Caenorhabditis elegans: one gene and its partner. The protein of the gene in region 1 purifies or fractionates together with the protein of each later gene. This does not show direct contact. Each region holds a gene or a part of one and is shown in the gene's direction. Other genes may lie near its edges.

What was found. Proteins that work in one complex are often made in the same cells at the same time.
Region 2: the proteins of rrp-1 (region 1) and rpac-40 fractionate together in Caenorhabditis elegans (co-fractionation; one large-scale study listed by BioGRID). This does not show direct contact.

Annotation. Positions count from the first base shown.
Region 1 is NC_003282.8:9,979,692-9,984,676, reverse strand, and holds rrp-1 (Ribosomal RNA processing protein 1 homolog), read left to right. Parts: upstream 1-2,400; 5' UTR 2,401-2,410; coding exon 2,411-2,537; intron 2,538-2,585; coding exon 2,586-2,809; intron 2,810-2,854; coding exon 2,855-2,966; intron 2,967-3,016; coding exon 3,017-3,530; intron 3,531-3,617; coding exon 3,618-3,834; 3' UTR 3,835-3,943; downstream 3,944-4,985. Other genes in the region: mam-2 (MAM domain-containing protein), read right to left, coding at 1,191-1,286, 1,336-1,387; dhp-2 (Dihydropyrimidinase 2), read right to left, coding at 3,968-4,288, 4,337-4,649. UniProt on the Caenorhabditis elegans protein: May be involved in the generation of 28S rRNA.
Region 2 is NC_003283.11:4,197,348-4,205,011, forward strand, and holds rpac-40 (DNA-directed RNA polymerases I and III subunit RPAC1), read left to right. Parts: upstream 1-2,137; 5' UTR 2,138-2,143; coding exon 2,144-2,227; intron 2,228-2,946; coding exon 2,947-3,626; intron 3,627-4,669; coding exon 4,670-4,773; intron 4,774-4,825; coding exon 4,826-4,942; intron 4,943-6,096; coding exon 6,097-6,212; 3' UTR 6,213-6,349; downstream 6,350-7,664. Other genes in the region: algn-5 (dolichyl-phosphate beta-glucosyltransferase), read left to right, coding at 1-48, 878-1,066, 1,713-1,745; H43I07.1 (Peroxin-14), read left to right, coding at 7,416-7,548.

The DNA of each region.
Region 1 (4,985 bases):
AGTTCAGAAAAATGTGCATCGCATCTCTGTTGGTCACCATAATATAATTATAGAGAATTTCGATTGATCTCTGTTGTAGTTCTAGTCTAAATTGCCTATAAGAAGAATGAAAACCCTTAAACTGTTCTTGAAATTTCAAACTGATACGTGTAATTTTTAAGCAATCTCACAACTGTGAACAGGTACTAGGAATGTTCGATATGTTCACATGACTCTACAATTCTTCTCAAAAATCTCAATGATCATCGTGCCAACTGTCCTTGCCTAACAAAGTGATAATGATTATCCTTGAATAAACACGTTTTTTTGGTTTCCTAGCCTCGTAATCCATATCAACGTTATATCATCCGAAATGCAGATGTTACGCCATCGCACTAGCTGAAATATCAGAAAAAAGAAAGCTTACCAAAGGAGAATCGACGGATCAGGACGGTATGAGTCAAAGAAAAGAAAGACATAAGTATACAATCTATAAGCATTTGTGAAGAACGATCAGTGTGAATTAGTACGATGGAACACTAGTTAAAAAAAATCAATTGTAGAACACGATGTGCTCACTAAAAAACTCCATTTCCTGCTTGAAGCTTTCCGCTCATAGAGAAAAATAGACTACACTTTAATTAATAATCTTGAAATTCTCGTGGTAAAAAAATACCTGCATAGTTACTTTTCACGCCACCTATGCCTGCCTTGTGCCTTAACTTGTGCCTACTTGGAATTTTCCTTTGACTGTTTTACTCGTGTCTATTGAACTTGCTACAAAAGTAGGACAAAAACATTAGAAGTTGGCAAAGTCTTCGTGATTTTTTTTGGTTTTATGATTTAGTAGGCTGGCTGCTCTAAAGCAGGCAGGTACTATAGAAGTCTTAGTTTTAAATTTAAGCTGGGATAGGCTTAAAAATCCAAACCAATTTCCGCACAACTAAAACAGAGAAACACATAGAAAAGCTCCAATTTGTTTCTCATCTCAACCACAGTTAACTTTCTCATATATCTATCGTAAATTAGTAAAACGTAAATTTAAAGGCACACACTTATTTTCTAATTGCGCCTCGCCACGATTGTACTTATTTATTTACCCTTTGAAATTTGAAATTTCTGAAAATAAACACAGGATTCACTATCGCCTAAATTCATGTTTTCTTGAGCTAACGACATACCAAAAAGTACAGCCTTTTCAAAAATCCTACCTGATTTTGAGAGTCCATTTTGGATCCATTCAATTCCTAAATGTTCCCTTAATCGATCTCTTTCAGCTTCGTATCCAGGCATACATGCTTCAACTTCTTAAATTTTCAACGATTATTCTAGTTGCTTTTTTAGAATTCAAAATACCTGTAAAGGGTATAAACCCAAAAAATACAGTAAACAATAATAAAATTGTCATCTAAAATTTGGAGAATTAGAGATATGTAGTAGAAACTGAAAATCTTAAAAGAATTGGTGGTTGGCAAGAGGATGGTGGGAGGCGAATGTTATCGTTTCCTGAACAAAAACCACGCTCCTCCCACTTTTTTGCATCCTCTGAGAAAATAAGCTGGAGAAAAGCCAAGAAGCAGATACTGTCTTTCTCTCTATTTCTCTTTTCGTGTTCATTTCTGATATAAATGCATAAATAGAGGACGATCTTGTTGCGTAAAAAGGAAAAGAGAATGAAAGAAATAGGGAGAGAGAGAGAGAGGACAGCTACTTCTGATGCAAAAACAATTGCGGCAATTCATTGTGACTCTGAAAAGCGGGATTTGAATGACGAGAGAAGTGATTCTCGGTGTTGAGGAATAACGAAAAATATGAATATGTTTCACTGAGAATTCATCCGAATTTTAATATATTCAAAGATTTCACTTCTAGGAAGCATGTTCTTCTGAACCAACATAGTTTCAAAACCTTATTGAGGTTGTCGGGCACTCTCCCCGATAATTTACATGCATGCATCATCGCTGTTTATACATGATTCGAAACTCTCGAATGAAAATTATTTAATTTTTCAAAGACCGACATTTTTTGAAAATGTATAAGATGTTCTTTGGCAGTTTCCAAAAAGTTAGGCAAGTTCACTCTGCGACTCTACGTCCCACATGCTCTCTCCACAGGAGGCAAGTGCGCCCCAGTGCACTGCATCCTCTAATTCTTTTTTTATTCATTCAATTTTTATTTCCAATTTCTGTATTTCCGTAATGATTTTCCAATATTTTATAAAACTTTCATTGTAAAAAAATTATAAAAATAATTTTTCACCATTTTACAATTACTTTCATCCGTAAATCAAGTAAAAACGGGGTTCTGTTCAAAAAACAGTATTGGAATACTTGTTGAAGCCAATACAGTTTATTCAAATGGATTTTTCAAAATTTGTTACTTTTCTATTTTAAGACAGTTCAAATATTACTTATTTTTTAGAATTCCAATAATGGATGTCGACTTGGCAAGCGTCGAAGTAGTTTTCGCTCAGAAACTCGCTTGCGGAGAGCCAGCTACGCGTCAAAGAGCTCTTCGCGTTCTTCACGATTGGATTCGTGATCAGTCCGCAAAGAAACGTGAGTTATTTTCCAACTTACATATAATTGTTAAAAGTTTATATTCAGATTTCGATGATGCTGACTTGATGCGCTTATGCAAGGGCCTTCACTATGTGATGTGGATGCAAGACAAAATGATTCTTCAGGAAGAGCTGGCTGACAGAATTGGAGGACTTATTAATATTTTCACATCGGAGGAAGAAAAAGTACGCTTTGTTGCGTGCTTTCTGAAAAGTCTTTCCAAAGAGTGGCCTCATATCGATCGATGGCGCATGGATAAATTCTTGATGGTAAATTTGTAATATTCCTTCGTCTAAAATGTCGTTGTATTTTAGGAAGTTCGTCGTATGGTTCGAGCTTGCTTCACTCATCTTGCCGAATTAAAATGGAAAAAGGATATCCGTGACGAATACTGGAAAGTTTTCCAGGAAACTACTATCTCCACAGGTTAGTAGATTTGTTAATTTTATTCTCATTATATTTCGATTAATTTTCAGATAAGTCCTTCAACGAAGCTCTAAAGTTCCATTTTGCCTCGATTCTTCTCGACGAACTTGATGCAGCCGGAGGATTAACCAAGAAGCAAGTGACGGCCTGTCTCAAGCCATACATTGAACTTCTCGGAAACAAAGACATCAGTGAATATTTGTTCACATCACTTTATGAAGAAATTTTCAAAACTATTCTCCAGCAGAAAAGTGATTTGATCACCGCTGTTGAAGAAGGAGAAGAGATGGATCAAGGTGGAATTGAATTCAGTTACAAGGAAATCGGAGCGTTGCTATTTGAAGTGGGAAAGCAAGAACATTTAAATGCTAAGAGAAGAAAGAAGATCTATGATCTTGTTAAGAAGTTCGATAAGAGTTCTCGTGGACAAGATCCATTACATTTCGAGACCCCAGTTCCAAAGGAGAGGTTGACAAGACATGATTATGAAGAAGCCGAGAAGAAGGCCATTGTGTTGGCCAACAGCTTCAAGCAAGAGAGAAAGTCGTCCAGAAAAGTTAAAAGGTACACTTATAGGCGTATTAAGCTGACGAATTTATTGTTAGATTTATCGTGAAATGTAAAAACTTTAAAAATAAAAATTTTTTAAAGCCAAATCAAAAAGCGAGCTCGTGAGGCTGCCGAAGCTGCACGGCAGGAGAACGGAGATGATGTTCCAGATGACGAAATCGCTGAAGTTAAAAAAGGAAATGGAAAGAAAACAGCAGTTCCTAAAGTGAAGAAAGGGCGCCCACTTTTGAAAGCTAAAGGAGTCGGAAAGAAGAGAATGGTCGGCGGCCTGAAAAGAAAAGCAGGAAAGAAAAATTAATCTGAATATCATTGTTGCTTGATTTGTTATGTTTTTGTTATAATTTCAATTTTTGATGCATTGTTACTTTTTGGAAGTGATTTTTTTATTGAATTTTTAAAAATAAAAAAAAAACAATTATTTACAAGTAGATTTAAAACTGAATGCTGCTAGCTCCTCCTGGAGGAATTGCTGCCCTGACTGGAGCTTTCACAACGATGTTCGCATTGGCATCAGGTGTCTGCAGTGCCGATGGCTCATATGGAATTCGGTCTATTTTCACAGGTTCCATAGCCTTCTTACGATTGTCAACAGCTGAGAAGACGATTTGAGAGTCTGGAGCCAAAGGAATGAATTGTCCTGAACCTTGAACAGTTTTCAGTTGACCATTTGCCCAAACAGTACGTCCTCGGGAAATTGTGATTTCTGGAACTCCGTGTACTTGCATTCCTTCGAAAATATTGAAGTCAATCGCCTTGAATTTTTTGCATTAAAATTGAATTTACTAAAACCTAAAACTCACATGATGATGTGTATCTTTTGAAATAGTTCTAGTTGCATTCGCATTCCAAATCACAATATCCGCGTCGGAGCCAACTGCGATTCTTCCCTTCTGTGGGTAACAATTGAAGATCTTAGCAGCCATTGTAGAAGTGACTGCCACAAATCTCATAGGATCAATGATTCCAGCATGAACTCCTTTATCCCAAACAACTGACATTCTGTCTTCAACTCCGTTTACTCCATTCGGAATTTTTGTGAAATCATCTTTACCAAGAGACTTTTGTTGACAATCAAATGTACAATTATCGGTGGCAGTGAGATGCAATTCTCCACTGAAAATTGTTTAGTCTCAAAATGTTGGGGGTTTTAATTGAAAATTTAAAGGTGAACTGTCTCTTTTGAAAATTTTATTCTAATTTCCACCGAATATGCTAGGAAAGTTTGAGTTATCGTAATTTCACGAGATTTCGACCTCTTCTTTGAAGGTACACGGGATTACTTCATTTTTAGCTAAAAACGATTTTAGTTTTAGCGAATTTTGTAGAAAATGGACAATAAAAGACTACCACAAACTTTTTTGCGCACCTAGACCCATCGTAATACATTCGTGTGTCTTTGGAAGGGCAAGTCAAAATATCGTGAAATTACAATAATATAATTAAAAATTC
Region 2 (7,664 bases), on another chromosome or scaffold:
GATACACAGTGTGGATTCAAACTTTTTACTAGATCGATTGCTGCGAGGGTGAGATTTTAGCTTATTTTTAGCTAAAAATCTCCAATTTTGGCCTACTTTTTGGGGTCGTAGTGGTCGGAAATCGACTATTATATATATATATATATGTTCGAATTTTTTTTTCTTTTTGGGAGAAAATGTTTAAAAAATTGGCAGACTTTTTTGTCGACAAATTCGGCAAGTCGGCAAGTTGCCGGTTTGCCGATTTGCCGGAAATTTTAAATTCTCGAAAATTGCCGGATTCCAATTTGCCGCAAGTTTTTACAGGGATTTTTCTTAACCTCTGAAATTTCCAAAAATGTGCAAAACCACAATTTGCCGAAAATTTTCGGCAATTGCCGTGTTTCAGGCGAATTCGTCAAATCGACAATTTGTCGGTTTGCCATTTTTCCTGAAATTTTAAATTCAGCAAAATTGCCGATTTGCCGGAAATTTCAATTCCGGCAATTTGCCGATTTGCCGGAAATTTTCAATTCCGGAAGTTTGCCGATTTGCCGGAAATTTTCAATTCCGGCAATTTGCCGATTTGCCAGAAATTTTCAATTCCGGCAATTTGCTGATTTGCCGGAAATTTTCAATTCCGGAAGTTTGCCGATTTGCCGGAAATTTTCAATTCCGGAAATTTGCCGATTTGTCGATTTGCCGGAAATTTTCAATAACGGCAATTTGTCAATTTACCGGATATTTCAATTCCGGCAAATTGCTGATTTTCCTGAAATTTTCAATTCCGGCAAATTGCCGATTTGCCGAAAATTTTCAATTCCTGATTTAAGATTTTAGCTAAAATTCGTCAAATTAAAGTAAAAAAAACCAAAAAAAAAAAACGTTTTTTTTTCAGATTTTCCCAGTACTTCACATTGAGCGCTGGGCTTTTGACGTTGAGCTCATCTTCCTTTGCGAAAGATGGACGGTCCCTGTGAAAGAAGTTTCAGTTCGATGGACTGAAATCGAAGGGTCTAAGATTACTCCAATTTGGTCTTGGCTTCAAATGGGCCGAGATCTTGTGCTCATTTGGTTCAGATATACGGTAAAATTGCAGTTTTTTAGGCCTTTTTTGAAGTGGTGTCAGGATGTCCCATCGCTCTACTGCACACGAAAATGGCGGGAAAATATTTTTTTTTTAATTTGTGACGTCACAGCGTATCTTGAATAATTTTCTTAATTTTAAGCGCCGATTTTTGTCAAACTTAAAAAAAAAATAAATAAATAATATCTTTCTCATTTTAATTTATAAAATTTGATATTTTACCAAAATTCTTAAAATTTAGTGGAAAAATTGAAGCAAAATACACAATAAAAATGAATAATTTCAATTGAAACGAATTTTTTTTTTCGAAAAACCATTTAAACCGTTCATTTACCAAGTTTCCGTGAATTTTTTAAAAATGATTTTCCAAATAAATTTTTGTTTAAATTGAAATTATTCATTTTTATTGTATTTTGCTTCAATTTCTCCACTAAATTTTAGAATTTTTGTAAAATATCAAATTTTATAAATTAAAATGAGCCAGTTTTTAAAAAAATTTCACGAAAATCGGCGCTTAAATTGAACAAAAGCAATTATTCAAAATGCGCTGTGTGACGTCACAAATTTTCAAAAAATATTTTCCCGCCATTTTCGTGTGCGGTAGAGCGACCTGACAATATTTTTGACATTAAAATTTTATTTTCAGATCGGAATTTGGACGGATGACCAGCCTCGCTAAATGCTCCACAAAAAATCGATACGAGATTTTCAAAAAATCTTGCCCAAAAATTTCCTTTTTCTTCTAGTAATATCTATGCTTTAATCACTTTTTTTCCCTGCTTTTTCCTGATTTTTTTTCCAATTTATGGCTGGTTGTAAATATCCATGATTCCTTGAAAATGTGATTCTATTCTTTTTTCTTTTCGCATTTTTATTATTTATTTATTTACTTGTTGGTTTTTCTTTTTTTTCTCTCTTGTTCTGGGGACTCTGGGTTTATTTTTAATGCTAAATTCAAAAAAATATCGATTTAAATGTTTTTTTCCATTTTTTTGTTTTTTTTTTCGTTTTCCCAGCGATTTTATATCTTTCCATAGAGTTTTCAGGCGAAAAAAATCAAAAAATTTCCAGGCAAAAATGGTCAAAAAAGCGGCGGCAACTAGCAAGCAGGCTACCTATCACAGTGATGAGATCGAGATGAAAGAGGAAGTTGTGCTCAATGTAGGATTTTTTGAATATTTCAAGGATGCAATCGCGCTCCATTGGGAAACGAGAGCGCTCCGCCCCCAAACGTTGGGTCTCGTTAGGAAATCAGGCGGCAAAAGCATTTTCCGTATTTTTTTAAAATTTCGTCCAGAAAAATTTTAAAAAATTCCAATTTTTTATTGAAAATCGTTATTTTTCCGAAAAAAATTGTTATACAAATTTACGAAAAAAGGCGGCGATTTATCAACTGCCGGAAATTAGTGAAAGATTACTTTTTTTCAAAAAAAATTGAAAAAATTTAAAATTGTGAGATAAACCAAGAAAAAATTAACTTTCGATTTTTTCAACTTTTTGGAAAAAAAAAACACAAACCAAAGAAAAAATGAACAAAAAAAAAGCGGATTGCGTGTATTTTTCACCACGCGTAACGTCGTTGTCGCGATGTCCTCCGGACCGAAGAGCAAGAAGCTAAAAACGCCCACGCTTGAACAGCAAATCGAAGATGGAGTCAATGCTTATATTCACTCGCAGCAGTTTGAGTTCAACTCTCCACCACGGGAAAATTTTTTTGCCAATTTTTTCGTCTCAAAAAAAAAAGGAAAAAAAAACCAAAAAACCGACATTTCTGGTCAATATTTTTTTTTGTTTTTTTTTTTTGAAGAAATTCGATTTTTTGCTTTTCGGCCGAAATTTTTATTTTTTTAAATTTTCCAAAAATTCTTCTTCAATTCCAGACCTACGACGAATGCACCGATTATGTCGAATACGACGATACAAAACAATTCGATATCAACGAGTATTGCGATCAAATCCAAGTGGCAATGGTCAATGAATCCGACGATGGAATGACATTGGAATTTGATATTACTCGCATTGAAGCTCCAATTGCAAATGCTCTTCGCCGTGTGCTCATCGCCGAAGTGCCAACGATGGCTCTCGAGAAGATTTATCTCTATCAGAATACTTCTGTAATTCAAGATGAAGTACTCTGCCATCGTTTGGGTCTTCTGCCGCTTCGTGTGGATCCACGTGGATTTCAGTTTCCAAAGGAAAAAGTCGTTGGAATCAATGAGAAGGGAGTGGATTGTGACGAGGAGCCCGAGGGAGATCCCGCGAAAAATTTGATCTTCAAGATTAATGTTTCGTGTACGAAGAATCGAAATGCGGTGCCGACGGCTACCGATCCGAAGCAGCTTTATCACAATAGCTCGGTCTACTCACGTGCTTTTGAATGGGTACCGATTGCTGATCAGAAGACGCAATTCACCGAAGAAGCCCATCCACGTATGGTTTCTGATGATATTCTCGTTGCCAAGCTTCGTCCTGGACAGGAAATTGAAGCCAGTTGCCATGCGGTCAAGGGAATCGGACGGGATCATGCAAAGTTCTCACCGGTTGCTACTGCGTCCTATAGGTGTGAATTTTGAAGCTGCTGAAATATTTTCTTTTGATTTTTGCGGTTTTCCGGAAAATTGAAAATTTTTCGTTTTTCGATTTTCTCGGAAAAAGTGAAAAATTGGGGGGAAAAAAATTATAATTCATATAATATATTTTCGGTTTTACGGGACCCCAAATTCTGAGAATGCGTATTACACAAAATTTTTGACGCGCAAAATATCTCGTAGCGAAAACTACAGTAATTCTTTAAATGACTACTGTAGCTTTTAAAGAGTTACTGTAGTTTTCGCTACGAGATATTTTGGGGAAGTTAAATAATTTTTGTACATCTACCTATATTCAGTATATTTAGACTGTTTTCTGTAATTTTGTGGAAAAAAAAGTTCGAAAATTTCAAGCCAGAGGTGAATTTTTTTGTCGACAAATTTGACAAATTGCCAATTTTTTTTTATTTTCGGCAATTTTCATTTTCGGCGATTTGCCGGAAATTTTCATTTTCGGCGATTTGCTGGAAATTTTCATTTTCAGCAATTTGCCGATTTGTCGATTTGCCGGAAATTTTCATTTTCGGCGATTTGCTGGAAATTTTCATTTTCAGCAATTTGCCGATTTGTCGATTTGCCGGAAATTTTCATTTTCGGCGATTTGCTGGAAATTTTCATTTTCAGCAATTTGCCGATTTGTCGATTTGCCGGAAATTTTCTTTTTCGGCAATTTGCCAGTTTGACGATTTGCCGGAAACTTCGATTTCGGTTAATTGCCGGTTTACCGATTTGCCGGAATTTTCATTTTCTGCAATTTGCCGGTTTACCGATTTGCCGGAATTTTCATTTTTGACAAATTGACGATTTGCCGGTTTGCCGGAAATTTTCATAGAATTTGCCTACTTTTCAAAATACATGTAGGAACATTTATAGGATGCGTACAATTTAGCCGATTGAAATTGAAAATCTGAAATTTCCAAAAAAAATGTGCAAAAACACAATTTGCCGGTTTGCCGGTTTGCCAATTTGACCTTCAAATTCTTCCAATTTTTCAAAAAATTTCTTTTCATTCCAGACTGCTTCCAACGATCCGCTTGAACGCCGAAATTTCGGGTGAAGCTGCCGAACGTCTCAAATCAGTATTCAGCGAGGGAGTTATTGCTATCGAGAAGAAAGGAGGTAGATCATAAATCAATTTTTAGGAAACACACCAATTTTTTTAAAATTTCAGCCAAACGAATTGCTGTTGTCAAGGATGCTCGCAAGGATACGTGCAGTCGTAACGTGTTCCGCCACGAAGATCTGTCGAAAGTTGTTCAATTGGGAAAGAACAAACAGCATTTCATTTGTTAGTGGCAGGGCTGAATTCGAAAAAAAAAACTGAAATTCATGAATTTTTCGCATTTTTTTGGTTTTTTTTCCAAAAAAAAATACACGAAAAGTTGTCGAAAAACAAACCCCAATTTTGTTAAAGTTTGAAACCTTATTTTGAAAATTTTAAATATTTTTGCCAAATTTTAACTCTTTTTTTTAATTTTGAGAGTGGTTTTTTTGGAAAATGTATAAGTAATTTTTTTTGGAGCCGGAGTTTTTATATATTTTTTTTCGCTTTTTTTTTCGAAAAAAAAAGAATTTTCGCCAGAAACATGGTACAGACGTGCCGTTTTTCGATTTTTTTTTTGAAAAAATTTTTAAAACGAAAAGTTGAAAAATTGGAAATTGGGAAAAGAAAATTTTTGAGTTTTCGAACTTAAAAAAAACGAAAAAATTTTTAAAAAAAATGTTCAGAAAATTAAAATTGAGCAGAAACTGGGGAAAATTCGAAAAATTCTGAAAAATTCACAAAAAAAACCCATTTTTTCGAACTTTTTTCCGATAAAATTACAAAAATCCTAAATTTTCTACTTTTCAAGGGCCCGAATTTTTGTGGAAAATTAGTAAAAATCGGTTAAAATTAACCATTAAATATGATTTTTTCTAATGGGGTTATTCAAGTAATGTAGCAATTTTTTTTTTTTTTCGCAAAAATTTTTTTACACTTTTTAATTTTCCGACACTACTTGAATAACCCCATAAATCAATTTTATCGAAACTGATGAGAAAAAAAAATTTAACGAAAAAAAAACACAAAATTTCGTCGTCAGAAATTTTTCGATTTTTCCCAAGTTTTCTAATTTTTTTGGTTGAGAAAGTCGATTTTTTTTAAATATAAAAAAAAAACCGAAAAAAACGTAGGAAAAAAGAGGGAAAAACTATAAACTTATTTAAAAATAAATTATATTTCAATGAGAAAAATGAAAATTTCTTCAAAAATACAAAAAAAAACCAAAAAACCATTTAAAAAAATTGCCAAAATTTCAAATTTCTTTTTTTTTAAACTGAAAAAAAAACACACAAAAAATTTTTCACAATTTTTACCGGCAAATTCGGCAAATTGGCAATTTGCCGGTTTGCCGATTTGCCGGAAATTTTGAATTCCGGCAATTTTAGTTTTTTTTTCAGTCAGTGTAGAGTCGACTGGAGCTCTGAAATCGTCTGAATTGGTGGTTGAAGCCTGTAAAGTCATGGAAATCAAGTGTCGTTCTCTTCGCAAACAAATCGAGGCTCTTATTCAATAATCCCCGTTTTTTTGAAATTTTGTTACTATTTTTTTATTCGTTATCCTTTTTTTTTGTTGTTGTTTGACTACCCCTCAAGTTGTTACACTGTTCCGTCACTTTCTTTTTTCTTAATTTGAATGAATTTTCGTGGCTTTTTTACCTTCAAATATCTCCTAGTTGGCCAAATGGTTGAAATTTCCATTTTTTATTTGTTTTTTTTGTAGTTTTTTAACAGGTTCATAGAAAAATCATTCATTTTTTCGGTTTTTTCAGAAAAAAATTATTAAAAAATGGAAAAACTCCAAAATTTTGAGCTATTTTCTCAAAATATTGGAAAACGAATTCTTTTCGATTTTCAGAAAAATTAGAAACAAAACTTTAAAAATCATCAATTTTTGTCTATCCTGATGAAAAAATATAATTTTCTTCAAAAAATTAAAAAAAAAAACCAAAATTTGAATAAAAAATTGTAAAACTAACATTTTCGGTTTTCCGGAAAATCGAAAAAGCGAAAAATCTTTTCTTTGCAGAAAAAAAGAAAAATCAATTTTGTTCTAAAAAATATCCTTTTTCGAAATACTGGAAAAACGGGGCAGTTTTCGAATTTTTTTCAGAAAATTGAAAAAAAAACGATTGTTTTTAGAAAACTAGCAAAAATTCAATATTTTGTCGAATTATATAATTTCTAAAAAATACCAAAATTTTAAGTAATTTTTTTTAAAACAATTTTTTTAATATCGAAAAAATAAAAATTTATTAGATTAGATTTTTTTTCGGAGAGAAAAAAGAAGAAAATTAACAAAAAAAATGGATAAGATTATTTTTCCAAATTTTTTTTATTTTCAGAACAATTTTCAAATAACTTTTGAAAAATAAAAAATTTTCGATTATGTTGATAAAAAAATATAACTTTCTTTTAAAAAAAATTAATAAAAAAACCAAAAAAAAATCGAAAAATCTTTTTAAAAATTTATCAAATTGTTGTTCTAAAAAATGTTTTTTTTTTCAGAAAAATCAGAAAATCCAATATTTCATCAAATTTTATAATTTCTAAAAATTGCCAAAATTTCCAGCAAATTCTTGAAAAATCAATTTTTTATACCAAAAAAAAACGAAAATTTTTCGATTTTTCTGAAAAATCCGACTTGTAAGGCTTCGAAAAAAATTTCAGCTTTTTTCAGATTTCTATGTGACAAAAGAGAAAAAGGACAAGGAGGAAGGATGGGATTGCCTATGATTCAAGTATTTATGATTGCCGCCCGGCAGGTCTCCAAACCAATTGCCGATGCGGTGCTCCGATATGGAAAAGATCATCCAGTTTTTAGGAATAAGCTGTTACTTCCCATTGGAAGAGGTATCGAATTTTGCGCAACGTGGTGTCAGGATGTCCCATGAACACGAACATGGCGGAAAAATATTTTTTGAAAATTTGTGACGTCACAACGCTCTCCGATTTTCGTGAAATTTCTT